Linked DNA regions of Ovis aries. Each later gene encodes a partner of the first gene's protein in a complex. Links are inferred from orthologs where the notes say so. Each region holds a gene or a part of one and is shown on either strand. Other genes may lie near its edges. The genes, in order: EXOSC3, EXOSC6, EXOSC4, EXOSC2, EXOSC9, EXOSC1 and EXOSC8.

Region 1 (4,376 bases):
GCCTCAGCAAAGCCAGAGGGTACCCACTGGGGTTACACTGTCAAGTACAGTAGCCACTACTCACATGTAGTTGTTTAAACTTACATTTAATTAAAACGATGTACTTAAAATGCAATTTTTCAGTTGCATTAGCCATATTTGAAATGCTCAATAGCCATGTGTGACTTAGTGGCTCCCATAATACTCAGTGCATGTAAAACACTAGCATCACCACAAAGTTTTATTGCACAGCACTGCTTTAGGGGATTACAGAAGAAACAACCCCTGGCATGCAAATTATTCAAAGCAAAACAGAATATTAGTAATTCATTGACTGTTCTCCATACAATAATTACTTTAAAAGCCTCAAAAGTTGAACTTCAAAATGACACCAACTATGGAAATGAAGAGTAAACTTGTTTCATTAAGTACCAACAACTGCTGGTGACTCAGGAACTAGAAAGAACATTCTCTGCCTTTTAGAGCATTTACTTTCAGAGGGCAGTGGAGATATATATGTAAACAAACTTCATTCACAGCTGAATCCAGTAAGAAAAATGACTGAAAATTAGGGGTGTTTTTACAGAGGGTTAGTGGTGCTCAGCCTGGGTCTTGAAAGACCAGAATGTGTTCCACAGGTTGAGAAGAGGATAAAGCAATCCAGACAGAGGGAACAGCATAAACAAAGGTACAGGAGCAGAGATTATGAATTCAGTGGTGCTCTTAAATAGTTCAGTGTAATTCAGGCAGGGCCACATGGAGATATAATTATGGATGAGAGAAGACCTCTGGAAATAGTAACATGTAGGCTTTGAAGAACTTTTTCTTTTGCAGAAAGGGGTATGAGAGGCTGTCAGCTCTTAAAAGCCTGGATGAAGGGGCAGAGGTGTACAGGCAGGATGTTACTAAGGAGGTCACTGACTTAAAGTCCGATCAAGAGACAGCCAAGGCCTGAACTTGCAAAGTGGAGATAAAGGGGTGCACATGTGGCAAATCAGAGAGACTCAACATGAAGGATGAGTGAGAAAAGGCAAAGAAACCTCCAAATTTCTGGCTTGGATGGACAGGAAGAGTGGCCATGCTACCTGAAAAGCCCAAGCTGAAACTTGAAGTAGCAAGACGACTACTGTCAGCTGCAAAATGGGACTGTTGGGAAACAGTGATGTAACTGAAGCTGTGAGATACAAGTCCCGGGACCCACATCCAGAAAAGACGGATGAGTGTATGGCAATTTCCACCACTGTTCCTTCCTCCCCAAGCCTCTGGCTTACTTCTTGTCCAGTGTATATGGATATAACAAATAACAGATATAACCTTTCAGCAGAGATGAAAATATCCCCCAACATAGCAAATGTAAACTAAGTATGTGGCTTTGGTCCCAGAGGTGGAGCATCTGAAAGAACTCTTGAAGCCTGGAGTGATTACAAAGATGCTCCAAGATCACCCAATAGCACTAGGAAAATAAGACAGTTCCGGTAGCCTTCTGGATATATGACTGTTTAGGAAATGGATATTTGCTACTTTTGAAACCAAAGGTCCTGTTGTTACCTGCACATTAGGTCTGTTTCTTTTAGTGGCACCTTCAAATGCCAAGTAAGACAGGGAAGCTGGCTCACTCCCTCCAACATCAACCTTGAATATGTCTCCAGACTTAGCTGTCACTATGCCAATCACATGGTCTCCTTTCACCGGGACATACTACAAAAAATGAGAGAACCACCATACATGACAATCATTTTTCAGACATCTTCAACAAGTCCTCAGCGGTTGTTATGTTTGTAATTTAAATATTTAGAAAATATTATAAAATCCATGTTTACAAATCAATACAAACCTTACAACAAACCTGATCATATGTCACTCTCCCTTAAAAGAAAACCAATCACATGATAAACTCTCAGATTTCCAGCTTCTAACAGTGTTCATTTAAGTGTATCATCTTATCTCTTCTGAATTCTTATCAGAAACTCCCTAGAGTTGGTTTGCAAGAGTTCAGTGATACAGGGGGAGAAGGCAATAGCAACCCACTCCAGTAGTCTTGCCTGGAAAATCTCATGGACGGAGGAACCTGGTAGCCTGCAGTCCCTGGGATCCCTAGAAGTCGGACACGACTAAGCGACTTCACTTTCACTTTCATGCATTGGAGAAGGAAATGGCAACCCACTCCAGTATTCTTGCTAGGAGAATCCCAGGGACGGAGGAGCCTGGTAGGCTGCCGTCTTTGGGGTCGCACAGAGTCGGACACGACTGAAGCCACTTAGCAGCAGCAGTGATACAAGGGTCCCCACAACCAAGCAAGGTCATTCTGTTGTTAGTTTCTTCCTATGTGAAATTTCTTATTTATTCTAAGAGAAACAACTCCCTGTGACATCCACTCATTGAACTTGAGTCTTTGGAACACCGAAAGGCAAGTCTGCTGCTCCCTGACCTATAAGGTTTTGAAGACAATGACCACGCCTCAGTCTTCATCCTCTTATGTGCCCTTATATTCCCCAGGGTCTTTTCTCGCCTGGTCGCCCATCTAGGGCCACGTTCCAGTTGTTCACGGTCCCTCTAAAGGAGTTGTAGAAGTAAGCACAAAGACTCCAGCGGCTCTTCTCTAGCCTTATCAGAGGAAGGCTCCAGGGCCCCTTCCGTGCTTCCGAAGAGTATCCTCAGCCTTCTCCCAGCCGGACAACCCCTCCAGAGTCCCAGCTTACCCGCTTCTGCTGCGAGTCCACCCAGTAAACGCCACCACCGCTGCCACTGCCGGGTTCCTTGTGACGGAGCCGGCCGCACTTGGTGACCAGCAGTCGGTCGCCGCAGCGCCGCAAGCCTGGGCCGCACACGACGCGTCCCCGGGAGCGCGCTGCGGCGTTTAGGCGCAGCGGTCGCTCCCCTGCACCTCCTGAGCCTTCTCCGTCCTCCTGATCTGGCAGCAGCAGCTCTTCGCCCGGCAGCACCACTTGATCTAGCACCGTCCGCGCTGCCCGCGCCCTGCAGCCAGCCAGGGACTCCGCTGCAACACCCGCTACTTCAGCCATCGCGGGCGTCACTATACAGTTTCCGGCTTCCGGCTCTGCGTCCAATCGCCAGCTCGCCCAAGACTTTCCGTTTCCGGCAGCACAGGCTTGTGGGATTTGAACCTGTTTTCAAAGTCCGATCGCTCTGGATTAGCGGGTTCCCTCAAGATGGCTATGATCGTGTCTTTAGCTGGCCGCCCATCCAGCAGTCTGTTCGCAGGTCCGCAGGAGAAACGCTAGCTTGAGTCAGTTGCGGAGCCTCCTCCCCCGGTGTCTGAGATGCACAGTGGGGTATGAGACCCCAGCATCTTTCATTTCGTGGAAACCCTGGGAACTGAGCAGGCCTTCGGGAGTTGGCTCTGTCTTCTGACTCTACGTGCTGAGGGACCGCTAATCTTTTACCAGGAAGAGTATTCAGTATTTTCTTTTGCATAGGAAACTTTTATCTATTCACGTTGTGGAAGACCAGAGAAGAATAGAAAGAAAATGAAAAGCATTAGTTTTGCTCCCTGTTTGTCTTTATGCTAGGCTGTCAGATAGTTCTCACTTTTTTTCTTCGAGCGCAGGTCCTGGCACGAAATAAATAATACTTGGTGAATGAATGAATGAAAATGAATGTTGACATTTTGGTTTGCGTTTCCTTCCCACCTCCCCCGAAAATATTTACATATCACTTGCATATTTCCATATAACTAAGCTTCCCCTCCACGGCCTGGGAAAATCAGAAATTGCAGTTAAATCTTTGCTGCTGTTTTCCTTGGAGCACGCTTTAGTTGCCCAGGTGAAGAGCAGCTGAATTGCAAATCAATAGCACATTGGGTCTCCCCTTCTGACTTTCAAGGCTCTCACTTGAAATACCAGGTGGTCTGGTATTCCCATCTCTTTCAGAATTTCCCACAGTTTATTGTGATCCACACAGTCAAAGGCTTTGGCATAGTCAATAAAGCAGAAATAGATGTTTTTCTGGAACTCTCTTGCTTTTTCCATGATCCAGGAGATGTTGGCAATTTGATCTCTGGTTCCTCTGCCTTTTCTAAAACTAGCTTGAACATCAGGAAGTTCACGGTTCAAATATTGCTAAAGCCTGGCTTGGAGAATTTTGAGCATTACGTTACTAGCATGTGAGATGAGTGCAATTGTGTGGTAGTTGGAGCATTCTTTGGCATTGCCTTTCTTTGGGATTGGAATGAACACTGACCTTTTCTAGTCCTGTGGCCACTGCTGAGTTTTCCAAATTTGCTGGCATATTGAGTGTAGCACTTTCACAGCATCATCTTTCAGGATTTGAAATAGCTCAATTGAATGCCATCTCCTCCACTAGCTTTGTTCGTAGCGATGCTTTCTAAGGCCCACTTGACTTCACATTCCAGGATGTCTGGCTCTAGATGAGTGATC
Region 2 (3,360 bases), on another chromosome or scaffold:
AGCTGGATGCCCACCCCCCCGGAGCAGCGTCAGCTCTCTTCCCTCTCAAAGCCCCCAGTCCTGTTTGAGCGTCCACAGGGTTACCATTTTTACTTTGTTTCTATCTTGTTTCTTTCTGCTGTGATTCTGTATTTCAGATCTGATTTGGAAATATATATTATGTCACTGGGGTCAAATAAAATTTGTATTTTTCCCCCTAGTCAGGGATTCTTGGTGTGGTCCCCAGGCCTCATTCTGGTCTCTCAGCTGCCTGAGCCAGCCTTTCCTACAGCTGAGCAGGCCCCTAAGACACACAAGCTCAGGTTACACCAAGCTGGTGCAGGGAGGACCCCAGGCGGCCCTTTCGCCAACTCAGACCTGAGCACAAACCTGCAGGGCTCAGGAGCCACACAGGGCAGAGCCCACCCTCCTGGTCAGACAGACCCGCTCTGCCCTACAGAATGGCATCTCCAGCATCCAGAAACTCTCACTCCTGGCAGTTCAAGTGCCCTCTCACTAGTGGACCAGCAACCCCAGGACACATTAAAGATAATGCTTGTCCCAAGCCCTGAGAACACAGTCCCCAGCTCAGAAGAGCCTTATTCATTAAAGTCGGTACCAAAAACAACAGAATGTTTCAGATTATAAAAAGAGTTTTTGTTTGGGTTCAGATATACGTGGAAGGCACAGCCTCCTTGTCCCCGCTCTCAAAAGCAGCCCAGTTATTCAGGAGGGAGCCCCCGGCTGGCCTGCATAGGCATCATTTTCCCGATGAGTACAGCGGAAGTCCTTTCCAACTTAGGAGTCAAGATGCGCTGGCAGGTTTCTTCAACTGGATCGTGGCTGGGAGTCAACTCAATTAGAAAAGTTTCTTTAACGAAGCAGTCTGGAAAGAATCGCTCCAACACGGCTATTCTGAGCACGCCTCCGCAGATCCTCCGCGGTGCTCCCGGTTCTCAGCTCGGCGCACGCATCTGCAGGCCGACGGCGCGGGTCCTTGTGGCGGCAGCTGCGGGTCGGTCCTTGGCGTCCGTCGTTGCTCGGGTCTCTGGCTCAGAGGGGCGCAGCGGCACCCCTCCGGCGGGCGGCCCGCACCAAGCACTGCTGGAGAACGGGGTAGAGGCGCTGGCAGCCCTCGAGCCCCAGGCGCACGGCCTCCGCCCAGCTCTCGGTCGGGCCGCCCTCCCCGCTGCCCAGCAGCCCAGCCACCTGGTTGAGCACCGGCATGAGCGCCACGGTGAGGCCGGCGGCGGCGCGCTCCTCCTCCAGCAGCGTGGGGTCCAGCAGCCAGGCGGGCGCGGGCGCCGGCGCGCGGCTCAGGCCGCAGCCCACCACCAGGTCGTACATCTCGACGCCCGCGTCGGCCAGGGCGAGCGCGGCGGCTGTGAGCGCGGCGGCCAGCGCCGAGCCGCCGTCCTCCAGCAGCAGCGCCGACACCTCCAGCTGCGCGCGCGGGTAGCGGCCCAGGCGCACGGCCGGCTCGAGCGCCTCCTGCAGCGCCAGCGCCAGCTCGCGCTCCTCGCCGCCGCCCGGTGGGGCGCGGCGCCGGCGGCCCGAGAAGGGCGCGCGGCGGAAGTCGCAGAGCAGGCGGCCGCGCAGCGCCGCGGGGGCCTCGCCGCCCGCCCCGGCCGGGCCGCCGCCGCGCTCACCGCCCTCGGCCGGGCGCGGGCCCGACACGGCGCACAGCACCTTGGTGCCGCCCGCCTCCAGGTAGGCCGAGCCCTTGGCCTGGCTCAGCAGCCCGGCGCGCGCGTACACCGGCCGCAGCCGTGCCGGGTCGCGAGGGGCCGGCGCCTCGCCCTCGTCGGCCGCGTACAGCTGCGGCGGCTGCGACTCCTCGGGCCCGCGGATGCGGCGGTGGTCCCCGGGCATGGCGGCGCTGCTGCCGGCCGGCTCCGCGGGTCAGCGGGGCCCCGCGCGCCGGCGCTTCCGCCCGCCTGCCCGGCCGCGCGAGGGTGCGCGGGAGAGCGGCTGGCGCCACACCGCCCCCTGCCGCCCCGGAGGGGGACGGTGCGCGTCGCGGAGCCCCGGGCCACCGCGAGGACGGCCAGAGCTGGGTGCATGGGTGGATCAGACGGGCCTGCAGAAGTGGGGTCTAGACCGGCCCCGCTGACCTCTAGCCTTCACGCCAGCGCAAGCCCAGCGCGTGGGTCTTCTTCCTCTCACTTGTGAAGCTGTAATCGGTCCTACACTAGTGACACAACCGTATACATGTTCCCCCGCCGCCTTGTCCAAGAGGGCCCTTTGGTACTGCGCCCTGGCTGGCACAGCTTGTGGAGTGCTTTTGGAACTCGCTCCCGCGCTGCGGACTGTGTGAGCTTTGTATCCCTCACACTCCTCACCTGGCTTGCTTTTTTGCAGCCAGGGCCTCAGCACCCTTCCTGTTTCTCCTCTTCTTCACCCCCAGGCCTTGTGACTGGTGGTCTCTGCTTCTTCTCTCAGCACAAACCTGCTTTTCTGCTCCCTCCAAGTCAGCAGGGCTGAGAATGATTCAGGGCCAGCCTGCTGTACCCAGGGGACTTGAAGTCAGCCAGAGAGGGCACAACTAAATACTACACACTACAGCTCCCACACCCAGCTGTCTTCAGGCTGGGGTAAATGGACAGAACCAGGTCAGTCTCCATCTTCACCGTCCAAGTTAGGTCCTGAAACCTGGAATGACCTGGCAGTCAAGGGTGTTGGGAGGAGGCAACTGATGTTCCCTAAAAACCTCCTATACCAAGGAATGTCTCTGACCTCACATCCAACCTGTACATCAGGAGAGGAAAAGACATAGGAGACTTATCAACGAGAATGTTCTTCTGTAAAAAGCACCAAAAACGAAGACGCTCTCCGCTGCCAGCAACCCCAGGGACCATCTTCATCACCCTATTCTGTGAGCCATCCCCATAGATGTTTTGACGCAAATCCAGGCACCATTATTCTCAAAGTTCAGGGGTCTGGGGCTGGACTCAGCAAGGGCCGCAACCAGAAACCAGTTGGAACCACAGCCACTAGTCTACAGACACCCAGGGAAGCACAAGTTATCACAGGAGGGAGGGTGAGAAGGGAGGAGGAGTAAAAGAATCACGTGGCGGTATCCTGTCAAGTATTGCACATGGCCTTTTTATTCTCTGCAGCAGAAAATGATTCTTCCCTTGAGGCCCATAGCACTGAGTCTGCAAAGAACTCTCTACAGACACAAGTGTGATGATGAAAAAGCAATCCTGGGGTAGTAGTTCTAGGTGGACGGCACGGATGTGCTCAGGGCAGAAATGTAACATGGGCGTTGAGTCACAGGCTGGCTCTCAGGTGAAGTTCCGGTTACTGCTGGGTTAGGACAGATGGGACTGTTTAAAGGTCTCAAGATTCAAACGTCCTTGTGGTGGAAGGAGAGCTGGC
Region 3 (4,228 bases), on another chromosome or scaffold:
AATCAGGCATGTGTCCAGAACCAAGATCACTGGGGTCCGATGACCACAGGGAAGAAGGTGCATGAAACTACTGGCCAAGGGGTTTCAAAGGAGCTGGGGTGTGTTGAGTAGAAAGTGGGAAGCACCCCTGTCTGGGCCAGGAGGTGCCTGGGATATTAGAGAAGGAGCAGCCCCTTGGTTCAGGCTGCAGGGCCTGGTGGTGAGGGCTCAGTCAAGTCTGAGGTGGAAGAAGGGGGAGCCTGAAAGAGGAAGGTGCAGTGGTGGGGCAGCAGGCAGTGTCTGTCTTAGGGTCAGGACTGAGAAGACGCCAGGTGACATTATGTGTCTGTTGTACTTTTGGAGCCCAAGGGAAGTAGCAGGACAGGCCCAAAAGGCTTCTAGAGGGCAAGAGACCCTTCAGTCCCAGCCACAATCCAGAGGATGTGGGACACGGCCCCCACATGACCATAGTGAATACCCAAAGCCACCCCTCAGGACTTGTGCTCAGGACTCTGGATGTGTTGGGATGAGAATGACAGACTCCATGGTCGTGGGGCATGGCTCGTTATACCAGGCTGTGTCTCACTGCCCAGCAATCCCTTCTTGGCCCAGGCTGCTCACTTCATCCAGGGACATCCGCCTTCTTCAGGGTGCTCACCTGAAGCACCCTGATGAGCAGGGTGAGCAGCACTGAGGCTGCAAGGGGTGTGTAGTGCATGTCTTGGGGGCGGACCCTTAGTCATTGCTAGAGCCAGCACCAGGCCAGGATCCAAGGGCAAGGAAGTGCGGTGGGGAAGAGATAAAAGTACAGTGAAAGGTGCTTAGGTTTTATTCTGGGCTTGGGTGGCCCTGTGCTCAGTCCCCCAGCAAGACAGAGGCCTCTTGTACATGCTGCCGGACCACACGGTCCAGTACGGTATGTACATCCCGGGAAGCCCGGGCAGCGGCCTCTAGCACTTGCTCCAGGTGGTCCTCATGCAGTCTGGCATCCATCTCAAGCAGTGCAATCTGGCCTGAGGCTGGTAGCAAGGCCAGGGCCAGCTGGGGGCCCCCAGCTGCTTCCTCCACATGGCTGAGGTCTGCCAAAGCTGTTCCATCCACAAAGCCAGCTGAGCAGGCACACACAAAGTCCCGCATGGGTATCCCCGCGTCCAACACTGCCAGCGTGGCTGCATTCACACAAGCTGCGTAGGTCCCGCCGTCTGCCTGCAGCACCTGCAGGAACCCCCCAGTGGCATGAGTTTCAAGCTGCTGAACCCCAACTCCTCCTTTCTCTCTCCCCTCCACAGGCTGAGGGCTGCTGCCTGCTCACCTGCACATAGATGTCAATCTGGGAGCGTGGGTGCAGCTGTGTAAGGATGGCTGCCTCGAAGGTCTGACGCAGGTGCAGACCCATCTCACAGGACTTGCGGTCCCCGTGTGGCCGCCGCTTGCGCTCCCCTGTGCTGAAGGTTGCAGAACTGTACTGACAGTTCACCAGGGCCCGGTCAGGCAGGGCTCGTGCCCGGGAGCCTCTGATCTGGGGTAGGGTGGGGGAGAACACATGAGCCAGGCCCTTCCTCCCTCTACCTCCAACATCCCAACAAGCAACCACTTTACCTGCAAAACAACACAGCCCGAGGGAGGGCCATTGGGCCAGGCTCTAAGCCACCATCGTCCCTGGATCTCTCTCCTGACAGGCCTCCCTGTTTCCCCTCTTGACTCGTCCTCTCTCGACCCCATGCTTCCTTTGTATGAGAATCTGTTTACATATATCAAGTCTGATTCTACCTCCTCTGCACAATACATATACTGCTTACCTTATAAAGAGTTCCCATCACGCGTGAGATAAAAATCCTAAATCTTTTCCCTGTTTACAAAGGTCCTGGGTTCCTGCTTCCCTAGAAATCCCTCAGTCTCATTTGGAATTACCACCCTCTTCCCCATCACCAGTCTTTCTGCTCTGCAAGAGTGCCATGCTTACTTCTACCTCTCTGGCCTTAAGTCTCCAGCGCTGGAGTGGTGATAAACCCAAGCGGTTTTATTAACACTCTCTGTCTTCACGGAGTTTATGTTCCAGTGAGGAGACAAACAGTGAGAAATAAGTTAAACTGATGTCTGAGGAGGCGGGTGCGGGAAACCAGATAAGTGTGTGGATGTAAAGGAGGGAACTTGACTTGTAAAGGGTAGGTAAGGTGGTCTGGGGTGGGATGGGGTGAGGTGTCACCCAGAGGTGACGTCGGAGTGGAGCTGAGAGGTGAGGGAGCCAGTGAGAGCGGCCCTGGCGGTTTTAGGAGTAACAAAGCGGTGTAGCGAGCGCTGGAGAAAGGCAGGGACCGTCGTGCAAGACACTGTTAGGACTTTGGCCGCGGCCCCACAAGGCGGCGCGCGCCAGCCTCACCCCCGAGGCCTCTACTCAGCCAGGTAGCCCCTCACAGCCCGTAGTGGCCACCCCCGGAGGAAGCCCGGCTCGCGCGCGCCCACTCGCCTCGTGAGGCCCGTAGACCACCGCCAGCGCCTTGGTATTGCCCTGTTCGATGTAGGCCGAACCGTCGGCCTGCGCGAATACACCCATCCGCGCCTGGATCTTGCGCAGCTCCCCAGCGCGCCGCCCGTCCACTCGGTAGCCCTGGTCCGATAGGAGCTCCAGCCCAGCCATGCCGCCCGGGCGCTAGCCAGGCTTGAGCGCCCGGCAGAACTACACTTCCCGGTAGAATTGACTCCCCACTTCCGATTCCCCAGGACTACGGTTTCCGGGGCACCGACTCCGACTTCCGGTTCCGGACCCCTGCGATTCTCCCAGAGTTCCCGAGGGCACCACATCTCATTTCCGGTCCTTGCGGAACTGCGGCTGTGGGCCCGGGGAGGGACCCTTGCGGCCTTTTGGGGTACGCACTCGCGCCTGCAGGGCTGGAGGCATGCCGGACGTGGAGTCGCCGTGTCGTTTCTTCCCGGGTTGGTCATGGGGACGGCTCCCTCTACCATCCGGGCCTGCCCGCCCCGCGCCGCCGCCTCTCCCTCGGCCTCTCCACTGAGCCCCGCGCTTCCCGCGCCGCTGGCGCTCCTTTACTTCTGCTTGACGCTTGGTATCTCCCTCGAGGTTTGCGGGCGATAGCCGCCACTGCTGGTCTTAAGTTCTTCCGCGGTCATAAATGCAGGCCTTCTCCCAAGCTGAGATACACTCTCTGTTCGCAGTTGTTTTTTTTTTTTCTTTAAACCGTTTAGTTTTTACATTTGTCCGTTTAAAAAGCAGACACATTTATGTTGTACGTACACATGGTCAAATTTTTTAGTTTCAATTTTCCATGTTGCCTTGTTTCTCTGCACTCATCCCCCTATCTACTATAGCTTAAAAAATGGCTCCGTTTTTCTTCACACTCATAATTACATCCAGGTCACACACAGACACGTGTATATGCAGCTGTACATGTACAGCCATATAGTGGCCTTTGGAACTCTTATTTTTTAAAATGCGATTGTTTCATACACTTTTGCATTTAACTCAAAAATATAAAATCTGTCCAAGTAATCCTGTGGAACTCATAGTTTTTTGGTTGATACGAGTATCAAGTAATAAGTAGAATGTACCCAGCAACCACCCCATTGTGGGCAGTGGATGTGTGTCCCGGGGTTGAGTGAAGGCTGTGTGGGAGTTAGATTCTCCGTCCTTTCCCACCTGGAATAAATGTTAAAAGTTTTTTACATAATCCTTCCCTCTTCAGAGGGTTACTGCCATTCCTCTTGCATTTCGTGGCCTGATGTCAAATGCCCTGGAACAGCAGAGGGGCTCACAGGAGGGGGGATGAGATGTTTTCCTCCACAGCTGCCTCCTGTTTCCAGATACCATTTGCTTGGTGGTCAAGGTCACCATCAGGGAGCTCATTACCCTCCTCATTTGCATTATTCGGGCTTCTCTGGTGGCTCGGCTGGTAAAGAATCTACCTGCAGTGGAGGAGACCTGGGTTGGGAAGATCCCCTGGAGAAGGAAATGGCAACCCACTCCAGTCTTCTTGCTTGGAGAATCTTATGGACAGAGGAGACTGGCGGGCTATAGCCCATGGGGTTGTAAGAGTCAGACACAACTTTAGGGCATTATTCAGCCCCTCTGCAGTGCTTAGAAACCAGATCCCATGCTTCAGGTTTGAATAGGGAAGGATAAATCAGCAGGGCTGTGACACTGACTATAGGGAGGCGACATTCACTGGGGCTGAGGGCGGTGTGCACTCGGGGCTTTCCTGTCTGTGGTCATTGGTGACTGGCGATGACTGGC
Region 4 (4,653 bases), on another chromosome or scaffold:
AATCTGCGTAAGTTAGAAACCTCAAACAAAGCTTTCTAGCAGCCCCTTCAATTCCACTATAGCAAATGGATCCTCTCCCAACTGTCACCGGCCCAGGAAATAGCAACTCCACCCCTCCGGTTGCTCAAGCCACAGTCCTTGGAGTCTTTGGAGGAACCGTGTGTATCTCCCTCCTCCCCTCTCTCTCCTGCTCCAGGACAGGTCCAGCAGCAGATTCTAAGACCTCTACCTTACCAATGTAGGCAGAAAATAAAAAGCACCCCAAAGGAAGAAATAAAACGATCTCTTCTCACAGACATAGTCCTACGTGTAGAAAAGCCCACATACAAAATCCTACAGCTTTTCACAGTAAATACACGCAGAACACGAAATACACGCAGAACTGATCACTATTCCCCACTTCTATGGCTATCACCTTAGTCCAAGCCACCACCAACCGAGATGATGAGAACAGAGCAGGAATCTGGCTCCCTAACCCTGCCCCACCCCCGCCCCCAACAGCAGCCAGAGTGACTCCATTAAAACAGAGGGCGGCGGATCAGGTCCTTCTGCTCCAGGGCCTTCCTAGACCGCACAGAGTGGAAGTCAGAAACGTTTATCGTGGCTGCAGGGCATGCAGACTGCCTACCTCACCTCTCTGCATCTGCTCCTACTACTCGCCTGCTCACTCTGTTCCAACCCCACTGGCTCATGTTCTGGGGCTAACCTTTACTGAGCCCTCAAGGCAGACGGCTCTCTGTGTAAAGTACTTTATACACACTATTTCGGTGAATTCCAAGGAAAATCCTACCCAGGAGGTCAGGCAAGGTCTCATTTTGCAGGAGAGGGAACCCAAGTTTGAAGAGGTCAGATATCGTAGGGAAACCTTTGAAGCCTACCCTTACCTACAGTCATCTCTACCCTTCCTCCAGTCATGTTCCCGAAATCCCAGCCCTACAGAACGACAGGGCAGGCAGGGCTGGGGGTAGGGGGTGTGTCATGGCAGAAAAGACCTGGCTGTGCAACTCAGATGCCACAAAATACACACCTTTTGCTCTCACCTGGTTTTCAAAGCTTTTACACAGATCAACTTGTTTACTCTCTCCACAGAGCCAGCCACAGATGCAATGAGCTTCTCTTCCCCCATGTAGGTTCCATGGCCCCTGTTGCAACAGGAAGATACAAAGGATACCAGGGTAATATTTGAGGTGACCTCTAGCAGCCAGAACAATGTGTTCCTCAAATCTGATTCCTCCTGCCTCAAAGACAGGCTTTTCTGCTGGCTGCCACCTCTGCCTAAACACTCCTTCTTTAGAGTCCTACGTGGCCATCTCTTGCACTGTACTCAAGTCGACTCAAATGGCATTTTTCCACCAGGCCTTCCTCAACTCTCCCATTTGTAATAGTCACCCGCCCTGCGGCTGCCATCCCCACCATATTTCCAACTTATGCTCCACTTACCCTGCCTCACTTCTTTATTCTTTTCTACTGCATTTACCAGCAAATATTCTAAATAACTTGTTTGTTGTGCTTATTTCTCATCTGTCTGTCTCAGAACATAAAGTCCACCAGGACAGAGATTTCCTCTTTGTTCAGTTTATACCCCAACCACAAATAATATTTATGGACTGCATGAATAAAGGACTGAATCTTAAGATTTCCTGGGAACCAATAATCCCAAACTAAGAGGTTAAAGGGCAATGGAATAAACGCTGTACCTCTCTCATATGCATATGGGGGGAGGGCAGAGGCTGCCTGAGGTATGAGTAGTGTTGACCACTGTGATGGTGATAGAATGGTGAGTCTTACTTTTTTTCATAATCATTACCCCTCATGTAATCCTTCCCTGGTGGCTCAGACAGTAAAGAACCTGCCTGCAATGCCAGAGACCTGGGTTGGATCCCTGGGTGGTGAAGATCCCTGGAGAAGGGAATGCAACCCACTCCAGTATTCTAGCCTGGAGAATTCTATGGACAGAGGAATCTAGCGGGCTACAGTTCACCGGGTGGTAAAGGGTCGGACATGACTGAGGGACTAACTCTTCCACACTTTCACTTTCATGGAATCCTCACCATTCTCTGGAATAGTTATTTTACAGACGAGGAAACTGACCTCGGAGAGGTGATACAGCTAATATTGTGACGGCAGCAGGACCGGAACCCCAGCTGCCCTTAAGCTGGAGCCTGCCCTCAGACTCAAAGTTACCTATTCTGGTGCATGTAACATAATATATTTGCATGCCCCCTAAGCCCAAAATGGCAACCCACTCCAGTATTCTTGCCTGGAAAATACCATTGACGGAGGAGCCCGGTAGGCTACAGTCCATGCGGTCGCAAAGAGTCGGACACGACTGAGCGACTTCACTTTCTTTAAGCCCAAGCAATGGCTCGTTCCAAAACCGTGCCCCTGGCTAGGAGACGGAATGCTGAGGGCTAAGTGGAAGAAGTCAAAAACGCCCACCATCCCTTCCGCCGAAACCTGTGAGGAGGCCCTAGCTGCAGGTTCAACGAGGAAGGCCTCAGAATCGGGGCCTGAGGCACAGGACCCACGAGTCACAGCTACCAGTGATCGGGACAGGAAGGTTTCGGGGGAGCTGAGGCAGCTACAGACGGGGACATACAAGAAGCAGGAAGTAGGAAGTCCGAAGCCTCGAAAACGAGGCAACTGAGATGCTCCCAGATGCGCCCCGGGTACCGCGAGCACTTAGATGCAGAACACAGGCCCAGGTTTGATGCGGAAAGAGAGCAATGCAGCCGCCCCTGCCGCCCAGTGTCCCCACAACCCCACGTACCGCATGAAGCCTGTGTCCGTGGTGATCGTGTCCCCTGGCACCACTAGGTGCTTTTTACTCTCGCGGCCCAGGCTCTCGCTAAGAGGCTTCCGAGCGACGGGAAGCCTCATCTCCAACGCCATCTTGGCGCCAATAACTCGCGCAGGCGCAGCCCCACTCGGAGTCACGCTTTCCGTCTCCGCAATTTCCAGCCGTCGCTCATAGGGGCGGGGCCTCAGAACAGCCGCCAACGGGAACTCACGGTCTGGCCTCCATGTTGGCTACTGGCAACCATTAGGTTAACACGAAGGGAAGGAAGGAGTCAAGTTGCCATTTTTACTATTGGCAAGGCTGCTCTTGTCAAATAATAAAATCTCAGGTTGCATAGCGTTCGACTTTTCAGCAAAACTCTTGTGCTCATCTCACTTACTGTTTTCCAGGGTTATAAATAATTGTGAAGTGGGCCTCTGAGTTTCCTTCCAATTCAAAGCTGCTGAAATCTCTCTTCTTTGGTATGCGATTGACCAGGAGGATCAAGAGGAGAAAACACTATTTGGACAGAGGAAAGAGTCTCTTTTCGTACTGTTACTAGTAGCCCCTGTATTCTACATTACTGTCACTTCGTGAGTGCTAGTTCAGCACCAACCATCATCTACACCCCCAAACAGTGCTGCAGGTGCTGTTTCCATTCTTTCTTAAGCGAGCTGATTTCCCTGGTATTTCTTTTGGAAAAAGCAAGAAGCCGTCTAAGAACACATTTAAATCTTGCCAAGCGGGTATGTTTTGTCAGGGAGGACAAATGGACACAATACAAAGATTTTCGCGTACATTTACTCACACAGTGAAATGAGCCAGGAGCTGTCCTAAGGGTTCAGTGATGAACAGATGGAAGGATATGTGGTTTTATCTAGGCGTCAGGAGTATTTCGCTTGTCCCTCTCCCCAGGTGCTACCCTCTCCCTCACCCTTGGCCCTGCATGCTTTATAGCATTCGCAACAGACTTAGTTTCAACCTCAGGGAATTGGAGGTGATAATTCTTCATGCAGGCTTCCCAGGTAGCGCTAGTGGTAAAGAACCTGCCTGCCAATGCAGGAAACATAAGAGACACGAGTTCAATCCCTGGGTCGGAAAGATCCCCTGGAGGAGGGTACGGCAACCCACTTCAGTATTCTTGCCTGGAGAATCCCATGGACAGAGGGGCCTGGTGGGCTATGGTCTGTGGAGTCTCAGAGTCGGGAGTCGCAGAGTCAGGCAAGACTAAAGTGACTTAGCACAGCACAGCCCAGTACAGGGATTCTAAATAGGATGAAATAAAATAACTTGCATCAGCACCACTCACTGAGACCAGTAAATTAAGTCTGTTTTCTCCTGAAGACCCATCAGACCAATAGCCTGGTAAATCTTCAAAAGGATAGCATTTCTTTCACCTAAGCGTGGCTCACAACTACATTTGTCTAGAAAGCCAACCCTGTAAGGTAGTCAGTTATATAGATTCTAATTGCTCACAGGTCATCAGTAAGTGGACAGCCAGACACTTGCCCTCCTCCTTGCCTGGAGAAGGGGCTCAGTTCAGTTCAGTTCAGTCGCTCAGTCATGTCTGACTCTTTGTGACCCCATGGACTTCAGCATGCCAAGCCTCCCTGTCCATCACTATCTCCTGGAGTTTATTCAACCTCATCTCCATTGAGTCGGTGATGCCATCCAACCATCTCATAAGACAGAGGACAGAGGAGAAGGGGCTAGAGCCAAGAAAAGTATGAGAAAGGGTGCATCCGTTGAGTCTGCTCTCGACCAGAAGAGGGCAGTGGTGTCCTTTGAAGCAGTATAGCTCAGTCAGGCTGCCAGGCCTGGGAATGCTCCTAGACCACGTTCTAGTCCTGGGTTATAGTTGCATGCTGGATTAT
Region 5 (4,647 bases), on another chromosome or scaffold:
ACCCCCTAAGCAAAAGCCAACCACTTTATCTAATGCTCAATCCAATCTAGTTCTATTCTAAAATATCAAGATAGCCTGTACTTCTGTCGACAAAACTTCTGTATAGGCGATTTAAGAGATTTCAAGGGCAATTATGAGCACATGTAGTTTTTGCCTTGTGAACAAATTTTAGAACATATCTAACTGCCATTTACAATAAAACTTCATTTAAAACAAGTTGTCCTGCACGTCATTCATTCTTAAGAAGGAGCCTGGCTCACATCACGGGAGCTTACCAATGTTACTTCATCTCCTTGAACAGAGACATCAGGCCTTCGGAAGTGACATAAGGCTACAATTGCAGCAATGCTGGCAGCATCGATAATATTTCCATCATGATTTAATAAATGTAGGTCCACGCGTATTTGCCAAACCTAAATGTGAATTTAAAACAAAAATAAATCCTAACTGGTCACAAGCACACTTTATTTGTAAGGAAAGATAACACTGTGTGCAGATTTTTCTCTTGCTGTTAAAACATGCCTTTATTCCTTCCAATGTACCAGTAAAAACATATTTAGAAAAATATTAATCCAGACCAACACCTGAAATACCAATAGTTCACCTTTCTATGAGTCATCTGACAACAGTAAAATATATACTCCAACTGAACAGAACCACTCTTATGTTTAGTACTAAGATTTCCCTAACTTCTAAGACTAATGTATTTTTATTGTCTCCGAACTTAAAAAACTCAAACACTTAGGTTCCTGGACAATACTTATGATAACCTTACAAGTAAAGGAAGTATAATATTCAAGTATGTGATGTGGAAAGATTAAAGTGACTTCTCTGAAGCCAAAAGATGGTTAAAATACCCTAATCAAGAATAAAGTTTTAATATTATTAAGCAGCACAATATGTTGACAGTAATATTTCCAATGTCAGACTACCAGTGACTCACTATGAGGCCCTGTGTAGGTCAATGAACTTATCCAAATGAAGGATTTAATCAGTTCTTTAGTTCTTCATCCATAAAAAAGGAGACTATTACCTGCTTCCATCAACTCACTTATAACATAAGAAAGAGACATGAGAATATGTAAAAACCACAAGTTCTTTGAATAAAGAATTTGTATGCAAATCTAAGCTACTATTTTCACCAATGTTTTTTGTCCCTCCAAAGAGAGATTCTATAGGAAGATCTATAGACAGCACTCCGTAACATCTGAAGTGAACCAGAATAAAACTGAATTAACTGAAGCTCTGGGAATGAAAGTATAGGTAGAGAGATCCACAAATCAACAGCACTTATCCCAAGATTAAGAATTTTGGGTATACTGCCCACCTTTTCACCAGCAACAACACACAGAGATTCAGTGTCTATACACTTCGAATTTCTTAGACATCTTTCCAAGAGGCGATTCAACTTCACCAAGAGATCTGACTGCCTGTGAAAACAGGAATGGGCTAATGTCAAGAAATGTAACACCAGGCATTAAAACAATAGCTCATCCCTGTTAGGCTTTCCTCTGGTTAAAGCAGTTTTTTAAAAAAAATAGATTTAAATACCTGCCAGGTTCAAAAGCTGGGGCAGCCATCTGCGAGAGTTCAAGGTTAAAAAAAAGAATACCTTCTGTTGCCCTATTGAGTTTTGGAGAAACAAGTTCACAGGAAACTTGTCCAAGAACTCTGCAAAAATAAAGTGCAAATCTGTTAACTAAATGTTCAGTATGATATATCCCTATGATTGAAGTTACACACAAAGTACAGTAGTAGAATATATACAGAAACAAAACATATATTGGCATACACAAAAACATTTATTACAATATTTACTATTCCACAGATTTTTAAGCGTCAATGACCATTACTCCTCTTTTCACAAATATTTAGTGATACAATCGGACATGCAACTTGAGACACCTTAAGTTTTCATATGGCATAGCTCACCAACATTATCTGACCAATATCTCCACAACTTCCAAATGAACATTAAAAATCAAACTCTCACATCACTCAGGAAAAGAAGAAAAGTAGGCCCTTCGCAATGACAACAAATGTCTAAGGAACAAATTCAGTGCAATCACTGCTGGCTGCATATATGATTCACAGAGATCAGAAACAACTATGTGTGGCTCGTGTTGACAGAAAATATATTCATGATTAAAAATATAAAGTGTAGTTATAAAACTAAAGTCCTACATTAAAGAAAATATACTTATTTGGGGCAGCTAAACAAAGTACTGTTCAGACTTCTTATGCTTTGTAAACTGAGCCAATAAAGTTCTTTTAAATTTCTATTGAGCTTATACCTAATTTGAATTGTTACCTTGTTTTCCCAAGCTCCACAATGCAGCACCCATAATCTGTTCCAAATGAAATCTTGATGTTCCTATAATCATAGGTTTGTCTGCCATCCAGCCGCTGTAAGCAGAACATTCATTCGTTTATTCCTAATACAAATATCTATCACTCTTTGCTAGACAGGCCCCGGGCTAAGAACTTAGAGGTAAGTGTGATACTAACTACTCCACATGGGAGAGTGGAAACTAGGTGCCCGGGTACTGACAGTCGCTGGCATGACCCGAGCCTTGAAAAGACCCCACCTGAGCCAAATAAATACTGGGGGCTTGGGGAAGCACTGGCGGCTACTCCTGGGGCTCCCCGGGCCTACGAGAGCTAAGTCCAAGCATCCAGGCCGCAAGGCTGCGAGCCGCCTGCAACCCAACCGCTGACGCGGCGCTAATTCCTAGTTTACCTTCTTCTCTTCAATGGCGCGGAGTAGAAAGCGGCGCTCGCAGTTTGACAGTGGCGTTTCCTTCATACTGTCAAATCAGGAGACCACCAAGTACTGGAATTCGCAGGGAAAACAGAACTCGAAACTCTTCACGCGCGCCCAGCTCGCACCGCGGCGCAGAGTATTGACGTCATCAAAGCGCGGTGGCTGAAGCTGAGAAAGCGGAGGCTAGCGGGGCGTCGCTAGTGCGCAAGCTCAAAGCAAAGTTACGCCTTCCTGACTGAATTCGCCCTGCTGTGAAGCAAAAGGAGGCAAAACTCAGAGAAAACCGGAAAGATCTGTTTCTTTTATTACAAAGTAAGGAGAATAGGCGGAGAAAGCAGTGGCAACCCACTCCAGTACTCTTGCCTGGAAAATCCCATGGACGGAGGAGCCTGGTGGGCTGCTGTCCATGGGGTCACGAAGAGTCGGACGCGACTGAGCGACTTCACTTTCACTTCTCACTTTCATGCGTTGGAGAAGGAAATGGCAACCCACTCCAGTGTTTTTGCCTGGAGAATCCTAAGGATGAGGGAGCCTGGTGAGCTGCCGTCCATTGGGTCGCACAGAGTCGGACACGACTGAAGCGACTTAGCAGCAGCAGCAGCAGCAAGCGAGAAAAGGACCCCGACAAAACCACCACTGATAGAAATTAATATCAGTAGAGCACTCTCACACTTCTATCTTCAGTTCTAGCGGAGTAGACTAGACGGTATTATTGCTGCTTGACAGATGAGGAGGTTGAGATGTGGCTACTAAAAAGCTGCTACACATTCATTGGAGAAACACTAGAATTGGAGAAACGCCGTTAAGTGAAGAGTAGGGGAAGGAAGAAAGTTGAGATGGTGAATTAGGGTACTACCGGCTGACCGTGTAACCTCGTAAGCCTTGAAAAGCTGACAAGAATTGAGAATATTCGCAGTTTGTAACTGATCGTGTTATACCTACCACTGACTGAAACAAAATTTTCTGTTTATTTCTTACAGCCTCCCCAGTTATTTTAAGGTATTAACCTCCTTTTATAGCAGGCGTAGAGGACTTTTAGTGTGTTCGTCTGCCAACCACTTGGCTTTTGGGGAGAGACAGAATCAAGAAGTACAGATCTTCCTCCACTTAGGGTAGAGTTATGTGCAGATAAAGCCATGTTAAGTCGAAAATGTATTAATACACCTAACCTAAGAATGTCATGGGTTAGCCCAGCCTGGCTTAAACTTGCTCAGAACACCTTCATTAGCCTACAGTTGTGCAAAGTCATCCAAGACAAAGACTACTTTATAATAAAGTGTTAAATATTACGTGCAATGTACTGAATATTGTCCTGAATGTGAAAAGCAACATAGATTTATGGGTACAAAACGGTTGTATCAGTTGTTTGTTGGTGGTTTAGCCACTAAGTCGTGTCCAACTCCTGTGACCCCATGGACAGTAGCCAGCCAAACTCATGTGTCTGTGGGATTTCCCAGGCAAGAAAACGAGTGGGTTGCCATTTCGTTTTCCAGGGGATTTTCCTGACCCAAGAATCAAACCCAGGATTTCTTGCATTTCAGGTGGACTCCTGGATGCCTAAGGGAGCTGTGGTTGCTACCAGTATTTGACATGACCATAGAGTATCTGACTACATATCCATTGCCTGGGGAAAGATGAAAACTTGTAAGTATGGTTTCTACATATTGCTTTCGAGCCATGGAAAAATGGAAAGTGGAACCATTGTAGTCCAGGACTGTCTGTAGTTAAAAGCAGGAATTAATTCCACACTGAGCCCAGATTCTGACTCTGCCCTTTAACTGTTCTGTGACCTTCACCAATGTAGCCTATATATTTCACTTTTATTCATCTGCAAAATAGCAATGATAAATTTATTGATTATGAGAAAAACAGGTTAGCACATG
Region 6 (4,524 bases), on another chromosome or scaffold:
TACATAAGCTTGAACTTAACCACACTGATCATTATCCTAGAAATCTCTAGACCCAGCACAGTCCAGTAAAACTTTCTGTGATGATAGAAAAATTCTGTTGACCAACATGGCAACCACCATTCGCCTGTGGCTACTGACTACTTGAAATGGAGCTAGCAGAACTGAGGAAATAAATGTTAAATTTGTTTTAATTTTATTGAAATTTAAATGACGTTATGTGACTATTGGTTACCATATTGGACAGTGCAGTTCTATAAGGATCATGATTTCAACACTGGATGGTATCCTAAGCAGGGAGGTTAGGACCAACTTACCTTGCAGGTTACAATAGCTCCTACATCTGGCAGTAATTGGGACTCCGTTTCTCTCATCACAGATATGACAGGAAGCTGCAGAGAGAAAAATAAAACATGAATATTCTGGCTAAGCCTTGGATAAAGGTATTTGAGACTTGACAGTAAAATGGGAAACCTTGGGCCACAGTAGACGTCACATGGGCAGGTGGACAACAGATTCATTTGTAGCCCAGAGCAGAAAGCCTTAGAAATTTTAGGATACAGGAGGGCCAAGGGGCCACAGAAAGAAAGGTGTAAGAAGATATAATCTTACCACTTCAGATGAGTTCTGAGTTTTTTTGTGATTTTCTTAAGAGTTTTTCCACATACAACTACATTGCCTGTAATCATGGATAATTTAACTCTTTCCTCCAAAGTTACATCTTTCTTTTGGTTTGTCATTTTATTGGACAGGCTAGAATTTTCAAATAAATGTTATATAACAGTGGCCATACTTGTTTACTTCTATTTAACACTTGTAGAGTTTCCTCTTTGAGCATGGTACTGGCTATTGGTGCAGGAAAGATATTTTTGAGCCCGATCTTTTCTTAACCTTTCCCTTGTTCAATATGCTTCAGCTCTCCTGGTCTTTTTTCAGTTTCACCAATTCACGAAATTTTTTCCCATCTCAGGATCTCTTTTCAACCTGCTCTTTCTGCTCACTCACTCAACTCTTATTTATCCTTTAGATTCAGACTAAATATCACTTCTGACTAGGCTGGATTTACCTATTACATGTTCTCATGGTACTCTGTAATATTGTTTCAGAGCAGCCATCATATGTGTAAGTATACCTTCATTTGAGCATTTATTTGCTTAGTTTGTATCTGTACCCCTTGATAGCAGAGACCACATATATTTGGCTCATTATCACATCCCACAGCTATAAAATGAACAAACTTTCAAATCCTAGGGAAATTCCCCAAATTGATCAAATACAAAAGTCTCTCATTTTATAGGTAAGAACCTATAAAGGGAGTGAAAGTTTCTTACCTAAGGCAGAATTAAGGTTTAGTCAATACTGAATCCTCTTTCTACTATGCTCCCAGTTTCTAGGGCGTTCCTGGTGGCTCAGCTGATAAAGAATAATCTGCCTGCAATGTCAGAGACCTGGGTTCGATCCCTGGGTTGGAAAGATCCCCTGGAGAAGGGAATGGCTACCCACTCCAGTATTCTGGCCTGGAGAATTCCACGGACTGTATAGAGATTTGGGCTTCCCTCATAGCTCAGTCAGTAAAGAATCTGCCTGTAATGCAGGAGACCTGGGTTCAATTCCTGCGTTGGGAAGATCCCCTGGAGCAGGAAATGGCAATCCACTCCAGTATTATTGTCTGGAAAATCCTATAGACAGAGGAGCCTGGTGGGCTACAGTCCATGAGGTCTCAAGTGTCAGACACGACTTAGCGACTAAACCCATGCCCCCCACCACCTCCAGTCTTTAAGCTGCTCCTCCAAGAACTGCTTATCTGATCCCAAGCTAATAATGGATCAGCCTCTGGAACCAGGGAGAATAATATTATTCATACATTCAATAAACATCTACTGAGCATTTACCTCGCGCTACGTGCATAGTAGTGGAAGGGTCTAATGGGGAACTTATAACTGAGTGTTAAATTGCATGCTGAACTAAGTGCTTAGAAAGGGAGTAACAGCTCTTGGGACCTCCCTGGTGGTCCCATGGTTAAGACTCTGACCTTTCACTGCAGGGGGGATGGGTTCCTTCCAAGATCCTGCATGCTGCCTGGCAAAACAAACAGGCAAACTGACCCCAACAGTTCTTTGTGAGTGTTAAAACAAACAAAAAACAAAACTCCCTTTTTTGACTAGTGGTGTCTATAGGGCTTCTCTGAGAAAGTGATAACTAGTGAGGTTATCTAAAGGGTGGTGGTGGTTTAGTCGCTCAGTCGTGTCCGACTCTTGCGACCCCATGAACTGTAACCCGCCAGGTTCCTCTGTCCATGGGATTTTCCAGGCAAGAATACTGAAATGTGTTGCCATTCCCTTCTCCTGGGTCTTCCCGACCCAGGGATCGAGCCCGCGTCTCCTGCAATGGTGGTGGATTCTCTTCCGCTGAGTAGGTAGGATTTAATCGGGCTAAGGAAGAGAGGAGCGTGTTCCAGACAGACGGCGTGTGTACAAAGACTCTGTGGTCCACTGGCGATATTGAAAAAGACAGTAGGACTTCTGCAAAGAGTGAGGCGCGGGTAGCGGAGCGAAATGAAGCCAGAGAAGCAGGCGACATTCGGCCAGGATTCAGCTCACAGCACGGCTGAGCTCGCCTCCGTTCTTTCCCCAGCTTGCTTCCCGGAGGGTCAGCAACACAGCCAAGCCAGACAACACAATTAATTTGTGATGGCTAAGTGTCCAGCAGCGGGGATCCCAGCTGTCAGAAACTCAGAGACTAACTCCTTCTCCTAAACCAGGCACTAAAGACGCGCTCGTAGGACCCTGCCTAAAGACAGTGAAATCAAAGGCAGCGTAAGACAAAGAGACAGAAGAGAAGGGAAGCTGCCCCATTTACCGCGCCGTTCTCGCTGGTCTTTGTCAAGCAGCCAGCAAGCGACGAAAAGATGTAGCCGTGCCGGGTGTAGGTGCCGCTGCCCGGGCTGCCCTCCTCCAAGTTACACAGACGTTCGCCTGCGGAAAAAACGCTGCATCAGCCACGGGTCCGCTGAAGCTGTTGGTCGTCTGGCCTTCTTGCCCCTGTCTCTGCCCACGATTTGCTCTAGATACCGCTGACTTACCGGGGATGCAGTACCTCACGGGTGGCGCCATGACTGCCACTGTTCCAAATCCCGAGGAAAATGAGGCCGACCTCTCATTGGCCAATATCCAGGTGCAGTTACGCAGTAAGAAACGCGCTAATTGGTGTGCTCTATCTGTAATCTCCGGAAGCGCTTCCAGAAGACGTAAACTCCATTTCCCAGGTTGCATCGGGACGAATTCGGGGGCGGGGCTTCGGAACTCTCGCGCTTGCGCCTGTGGACAAGGATGGGCGGGCGGTGGGTCCGGGTCTGCAGGCTGGACCTGTGGGCGGTGGGCCATGGTTGGTTGGATTGAGCAGGGCCGGTGGACGCCGAGCTGGAGGGGGTGGCAGTGAGCTGCGGCGGAGGCTGCGGGGTTCGACTTGGCTGATTGAGGAATCGGCCAGCGGCAGGTAAGAGCGAAGCTGCGGCCTTTTCTGCCCAGTCCTGTCGCTTTTAATAGGGTCGGGCCCTGTTCCCGGGCCTTGTGAGCCCGAGTTCCTGCTCTGCACGGCCGTGCCCTCGAACCGGACGGAACACACCCTCCGGGCAGCCCTGAGGCGTGGAGCTGGAAGGTCACCCCAGCCAACTCGCCCATTTCACAGATTTGGAAATTCATCCCCAGGGATAGGATTAGAATTGTACAGTATCTCTAAAATCAAGATAGAGACCGAACGGGTACTCAAGTTATTTTTTACTTTCAGTCTATCATTCTTTGTTGAGAAATAAAACGTTTCCTCAGTTTCTGTAACTGCAGTCTCCAATCTTGCGGAAGCGTGCTAGTCTGGAAGGAAAGTCTGCATGAATTAGTGTTGCTTTTACTGATGATTGACACTTGCTGCTTCAGGCAGTAAACACCCTGAAAACAGCATCTTTGTTCAAATGAGTTATGTCGACTTTGTTTCCTCTGCTCTTCGGTGTCTTTGGAATCTATGTGTGTCCTCCCACCCCTAATAGCCCCCATGTCCAGTTTCCCCTTGGGAAAGAGTTGGTGACTGAGAGCCTTGGGGAGAGGAGAGTGCTGTGACCTACACTCCCCTCTGAACTGGTGGCACGTGTCACTATGTTGGTAGGACTGAGGGATCAGAGTGTTCAAGGCTTGTGTTGGGGGTGATGCTGCTGCTGCTGCTAAGTTGGTTCAGTCGTGTCTGACTCTGTGGGACCCCATAGACGGCAGCCTAGCAGGCTCCCGCGTCCCTGGGATTCTCCAGGCAAGAACACTGGAGTGGGTTGCCGCTTCCTTCTCCCATGCAGGAAAGTGAAAAGTGAAAGTAAAGTTGCTCAGTCTGTCTGACTCTTAGCTACCCCATGGATTGCAGCCTACCAGGCTCCTCCATCCATGGGATTTTCCAGGCAAGAGTACTGGAGTGGGTTGCCATTGCCTTCTCTGTTTGGAGTGATAGGGAAACTCTTATTTCCTGCCCTGTTCACTTCCATCACCACCC
Region 7 (4,427 bases), on another chromosome or scaffold:
TTAAAACTTGGGAAATGAAAACAAATACTAAAACACCTGACTGCCCAATCAACAGTAGAATTATAGATGTATATTATAATCTACTAAGTATATGAAGCTAACTTAGTAACTCAAATCTTGGTAGTAAGTATATTAAACCTACCGCTTTAATTCCACAAATTACTGTAGTATTTCCAAGCTTCACTAAAGAAGAACCATCTGCGGTACCAATCGAACCTGAAAAGTATTTTTTTAAAATGAAAATGTTTTCTTCTTTTATGTATGATTTTTATCTCTAAATATCTAAGATGTCCGTGAAAATTTACTCCTTGCTTGAGTCTTGGTAAAATTATAGTTGACCCTTAAACAACATGGGCTTGAACTATACAGGTCCACTTATACAAAGATTATTTTCAATACATACTTCCACAGTACTACGTGATCCACAGTTGGTTGAATCTAAGGATGCTGAACCTTGGATACGGAGTGCCAATCCATAACGGTAAGATTATACTTGGATTTTCAACTCTGTGAAGGTCAGTGCTCCTAACCCCCTCACTGTTCAAGGGTCAACCGAATTGTTTTAGGAATTATTCATTTTCTTGATTTTGAGTGAATCATTTGTCATTTAATCACAGGGCTGTTATTAAAATTTCTTGACAAAAATCACTGTAATCCCTTAGACCTGGTAGAATTTGTCTAAAACACCGTTTAAATGGCTCAGAGGCTAAAACCTGGGAATGTCATATGGGTAAAATTGGAAAATTCCATGTTTGGCAACAGAAGATTTAATAATGTAAGATATAGAAGGAAACCAAACCTTACAAGTTTTGAAGGGGGAAAACACTTCAGAGTTACTTTAAAATTTAATATGAACATAAAAACTGAAAGGATGTGCTTAGCTGCTCAGTCGTATGTGACTCTTTTGTGACCCCATGAACTGTAGCCTGCCAGGTTCCTCTGTCTATGGGATTTTCCAGGCAAGAATACTGCAGTGGGTTGCTATTTCCTTCCCCTGGAGATCTTCCCCACCCAAGGATCAAACCTGTCTCCTGCATTGCAGGTAGATTCTTGATGCACCAAGACATTTGGGAAGCCCACTAATGAGAGGAGAGTGAGTTAAAAAAAACTCTACAAATAAAAAGTTGCTATTAAGAAAAAAAATTCTATTTTCAGAACTGAAGCAACTTCAACATTCTTTTAGAACTCAAAGTACTCTCACCTACGTTGACAGTTGTGGTTCTGAATTCACCAAGTTCTCTGCCATCGGGACGGCAATTCTCTTTCTAAGTAAATATATGAAAGTAGATTACAGCTACATGTATATCTTACACAGACCAAGGAAAACACACTGAACCTCATTAATTCAAATAAATTAATCTGTATTACTTTAAAATTGTCTTTTAAAAACTGAAGTATACTTAGAACATTAGGTGAATAACATGATTAATACTTGTATTTATGAAAAAAGCATATGATACCATTATCAAAGGGCATCACATAATCACCTTTACTTACCAGAAATCTCCTGTAATACTCCAGAGGTTCCACAGTTCTGAAAGACATGAGAAAAATGAGATAAATTATAAATCAATATAAATCCAGAAACACAACAATCTTAATAGTGGGGTGATGGAGCAGAAATCTCCAAAATTTGTAACTAAGTTTCTGTTATGAATTCTAGTTTATGTTGCCACATGTTGCTAATTATAAAAAGTAGCTACTTTTGCAATAACAATCACACTCGAAGACTGATTTTAATTCTGCTTTAAACAAGTATAAGGATCGAGACCAAAACCCTAGGCCTCTTTAAAAAGAGAATGAATCCAGGTGTGCATCACTCATACTTTGAAGCAGGAATACTTCGTTAGTAGGAAAAAAAAAAAAATTACGCATTTATTTTCACTACCCCGACTTAAATTTAGCATATTCTTCGATTACAAGCATAGGCAATAAACCACTATAATATTAGCCGTACCTGCGACTTTAACAACCACAGATTAAGATGTTTTCGTTTTTACTTTATAGTTGCCTAAGGTCGGTAAAGCGTATGCCCGCAATGCGGGAGACCCAGGTTCGATTCCTGGGTCGGGAAGATCCCCTGGAGAAGGAAATGGCAATCCACTCCAGCGCTCTTGCCTGGAAAATCCCATGGATGGAGGAGCCTGACAGGCTACAGTCCATGGGACCCGCAAAGAGTCGGACACGACTGAGCGACCTGACTTTATGGTAAGTGTAAGACGTATCGTTACTTCGAATTTCAGGAGTTACTTTAGACTTCCCACTAGGCCTTATCTAAGAAAGTTAATTTCAAAACAGATATTTCACTGTGTCAAAAACCCGGAGTTTATACAAATACATGGTCGTTTCAATATAACTGGTTTCCTTTGGAATCCTATTTATTGCATCCATTTAAAACTCGACTCAGAACGAAAAGCTATAGCCTTCCCCAGAGAGCAGCACCGAAAACGCTTAAGGAAAACCTTTCTAACGAGGCAGAATGCTTTTACACATAAACTACTGGGCAGAGAAAGCAGGGCGCCCTGAGGTTTTGAAGCAACGCTTTCTACAAGATTACAAGTGTCTCTCCTGTGCAGCAAAGTCCACTACACACAAAGCCTAGCGCTCGCAGCGGGTACCTGCTCAACACAGTACTTCCTATCACTGGGGAGAAGATGCGCCCTTTCCCTTCACTACGACCACCTTCAGTTCTCCCGCCCAACGTCTCCTTCTGCAGTGGAAACAAATGGGAACCAGGTGGGGTGGCCTCCCGATGAGAAAATCCCAAGGGTAGGGAAGCCGCCGACCGCCAGGCTACGAACTCGCGCCCGCCAGCCTACCGCACTCACTTGAACCCAGCCGCCATCTTCCGCCCGCCGATCTGCGCCTGCGCCCGCGCCCGCGCCTGCGTATCACCACCCCTCCGGCCCGCGCTGCTGTTTCGCTTCAGCACTTTCAACACTGATTCTGCTACCTGATATGTAGAAGGCAGGGTTGTATGGACCAGAGTAGAGGTAGAAGAGGTGAGGGTGGTTTCCCGCATGGCTTCGCTTCGACCACCCCTAGCCAGTCGCCCCTTTAGGTTTTCTTGACCTTGACGTTTTTGGCGAATCGGCTTTTACGAAAGTTATGAGTGTTTGTTTAGAAACAGTTTGATAGTTCAAGCGTGCGTGCTTAGTCTCTTCTGTAGAATCAGACTTTTCGCGACCCGATGGACTATAACCCACCAGCCTCTTCTGTCCTTGGAATTCTCCAGGCAAGAATACTAAACTGCGAAGATCTTCCCAAACCAGGAGTGGAACCCATGTCTCCTGCGTCTTCTGCATTGAAGGCGGATTCTTTATCGCTGAACCACCAAGGAAGCCCACCATTCAAAAGTTTCAGAGAAAACCGACGGTATAGCAAAAAATCAAGTGTTGAGCGTGGAGCATTATTCCAGTGTTTCCGCGTTCTTTCCCCCTCCTCCTTAGGCTGAGCCCTGGGCTTGCCTTCTTCCAGGTAAAAGCCTCCTGCTAGAGCACCGAAAATTTAAAAATTCTGTGCGCTGGTTATCCACATCAGGTTACATTACGCAGCTGCCAAGAGTGGGCTCCAAAGAAACAACTTTCGTTGTAGACTGTGTCGTGGCTCAAAACCTCCACTCCACCTCCTTCCTAGAAAGGGTTGCTGATAAAACGCAGGACATCCAATTCAATTTGAATGTCAGGTGAACAAAGAGTACACGCAAAATTGTTCATGTTGTTAGTTGTTACCAGAAGCTGGGGGAGAACTGGGAAAGGTTTAGCAAGAGGCGGTAGTGATGGTTGCAGGAAGCTGTGAGTGCAGTCAATGTCCCTGTAGTAGACACATAAACTGGTTAAAATGGGAAATTTGATCAGTTTTTCAAAGTTAATATAACAAAAAGCTCTTAAATGGGCGAACTTTGAGTGTGTGTTATACTTTAATAGTGCTGTTGAAAACCGATCCGTTGCTATCTGAAATTCAATTTAAGTGGACATCCGTTTATTTCTCCTTGCTGATTTTGACAACCCTACTGCGTTTGAACAGAGCCGCTCGCACACAACATAGTCTCGTCACGCGGTGGCGCTGTGGGCAGCGCGGGTCCCCGGGCGTGACCGGGTCTGGCCGCGAGGTGGCGCTGTGGGCGGCGGGCGCCCAGCTGGCATGGCCTCTCTGCGGGCTGGAGGCGGGGCTGCGCGGCCGCATTTCCGCGTGTGTGTAAACGCGGGATAGGGCGGCTGGCGGCCCGGCATGGAGGATGGCTCCGGTCTTGCTGCAGCTGGCGGTGCTCGGCGTGGCGCTGGCCGCCGCGGCCCTGATTCTGGTGAGGAGAGGGGTTGGGGACAGACGCGGACCTGGGCTCACTGCGCTCCTGGAGGCGCGGCCCCCCAGGCATGCTCTCCTCCTAGCTGTCCGCTCTTTGACGTGTCCTTCCACCACGCTTCCCC

The links.
Region 2: EXOSC3 (region 1) and EXOSC6 share a complex: the UniProt entries of both Homo sapiens proteins name them as parts of the RNA exosome core complex. The link is inferred for Ovis aries from reciprocal best matches to the Homo sapiens genes EXOSC3 and EXOSC6.
Region 3: EXOSC3 (region 1) and EXOSC4 share a complex: the UniProt entries of both Homo sapiens proteins name them as parts of the RNA exosome core complex. The link is inferred for Ovis aries from reciprocal best matches to the Homo sapiens genes EXOSC3 and EXOSC4.
Region 4: EXOSC3 (region 1) and EXOSC2 share a complex: the UniProt entries of both Homo sapiens proteins name them as parts of the RNA exosome core complex. The link is inferred for Ovis aries from reciprocal best matches to the Homo sapiens genes EXOSC3 and EXOSC2.
Region 5: EXOSC3 (region 1) and EXOSC9 share a complex: the UniProt entries of both Homo sapiens proteins name them as parts of the RNA exosome core complex. The link is inferred for Ovis aries from reciprocal best matches to the Homo sapiens genes EXOSC3 and EXOSC9.
Region 6: EXOSC3 (region 1) and EXOSC1 share a complex: the UniProt entries of both Homo sapiens proteins name them as parts of the RNA exosome core complex. The link is inferred for Ovis aries from reciprocal best matches to the Homo sapiens genes EXOSC3 and EXOSC1.
Region 7: EXOSC3 (region 1) and EXOSC8 share a complex: the UniProt entries of both Homo sapiens proteins name them as parts of the RNA exosome core complex. The link is inferred for Ovis aries from reciprocal best matches to the Homo sapiens genes EXOSC3 and EXOSC8.

What each region holds. Positions count from the first base shown.
Region 1 is NC_056055.1:50,987,121-50,991,496, reverse strand, and holds the start of EXOSC3 (exosome complex component RRP40), read right to left. Parts: upstream 3,018-4,376; 5' UTR 3,003-3,017; coding exon 2,679-3,002; intron 1,678-2,678; coding exon 1,528-1,677; intron 1-1,527. UniProt on the Homo sapiens protein: Non-catalytic component of the RNA exosome complex which has 3'->5' exoribonuclease activity and participates in a multitude of cellular RNA processing and degradation events.
Region 2 is NC_056067.1:1,305,247-1,308,606, reverse strand, and holds EXOSC6 (exosome complex component MTR3), read right to left. Parts: upstream 1,895-3,360; 5' UTR 1,852-1,894; coding exon 1,033-1,851; 3' UTR 615-1,032; downstream 1-614. UniProt on the Homo sapiens protein: Non-catalytic component of the RNA exosome complex which has 3'->5' exoribonuclease activity and participates in a multitude of cellular RNA processing and degradation events.
Region 3 is NC_056062.1:13,710,014-13,714,241, forward strand, and holds EXOSC4 (exosome complex component RRP41), read right to left. Parts: upstream 2,677-4,228; 5' UTR 2,618-2,676; coding exon 2,447-2,617; exon of another isoform or gene 1,499-2,446; coding exon 1,292-1,498; exon of another isoform or gene 1,269-1,291; intron 1,195-1,268; coding exon 835-1,194; 3' UTR 786-834; downstream 1-785. UniProt on the Homo sapiens protein: Non-catalytic component of the RNA exosome complex which has 3'->5' exoribonuclease activity and participates in a multitude of cellular RNA processing and degradation events.
Region 4 is NC_056056.1:5,933,646-5,938,298, forward strand, and holds the start of EXOSC2 (exosome complex component RRP4), read right to left. Parts: upstream 2,910-4,653; 5' UTR 2,893-2,909; coding exon 2,771-2,892; intron 1,143-2,770; coding exon 1,041-1,142; intron 1-1,040. UniProt on the Homo sapiens protein: Non-catalytic component of the RNA exosome complex which has 3'->5' exoribonuclease activity and participates in a multitude of cellular RNA processing and degradation events.
Region 5 is NC_056059.1:3,768,990-3,773,636, forward strand, and holds the start of EXOSC9 (exosome complex component RRP45), read right to left. Parts: upstream 2,909-4,647; 5' UTR 2,807-2,908; coding exon 2,741-2,806; intron 2,407-2,740; coding exon 2,312-2,406; intron 1,672-2,311; coding exon 1,552-1,671; intron 1,431-1,551; coding exon 1,328-1,430; intron 414-1,327; coding exon 276-413; intron 1-275. UniProt on the Homo sapiens protein: Non-catalytic component of the RNA exosome complex which has 3'->5' exoribonuclease activity and participates in a multitude of cellular RNA processing and degradation events.
Region 6 is NC_056075.1:18,489,419-18,493,942, forward strand, and holds the start of EXOSC1 (exosome complex component CSL4), read right to left. Parts: upstream 3,142-4,524; 5' UTR 3,111-3,141; coding exon 3,080-3,110; intron 2,973-3,079; coding exon 2,857-2,972; intron 390-2,856; coding exon 315-389; intron 1-314. UniProt on the Homo sapiens protein: Non-catalytic component of the RNA exosome complex which has 3'->5' exoribonuclease activity and participates in a multitude of cellular RNA processing and degradation events.
Region 7 is NC_056063.1:24,979,866-24,984,292, forward strand, and holds the start of EXOSC8 (exosome complex component RRP43), read right to left. Parts: upstream 2,871-4,427; 5' UTR 2,846-2,870; coding exon 2,829-2,845; intron 1,535-2,828; coding exon 1,498-1,534; intron 1,266-1,497; coding exon 1,202-1,265; intron 217-1,201; coding exon 143-216; intron 1-142. Other genes in the region: ALG5 (dolichyl-phosphate beta-glucosyltransferase), read left to right, coding at 4,238-4,303. UniProt on the Homo sapiens protein: Non-catalytic component of the RNA exosome complex which has 3'->5' exoribonuclease activity and participates in a multitude of cellular RNA processing and degradation events.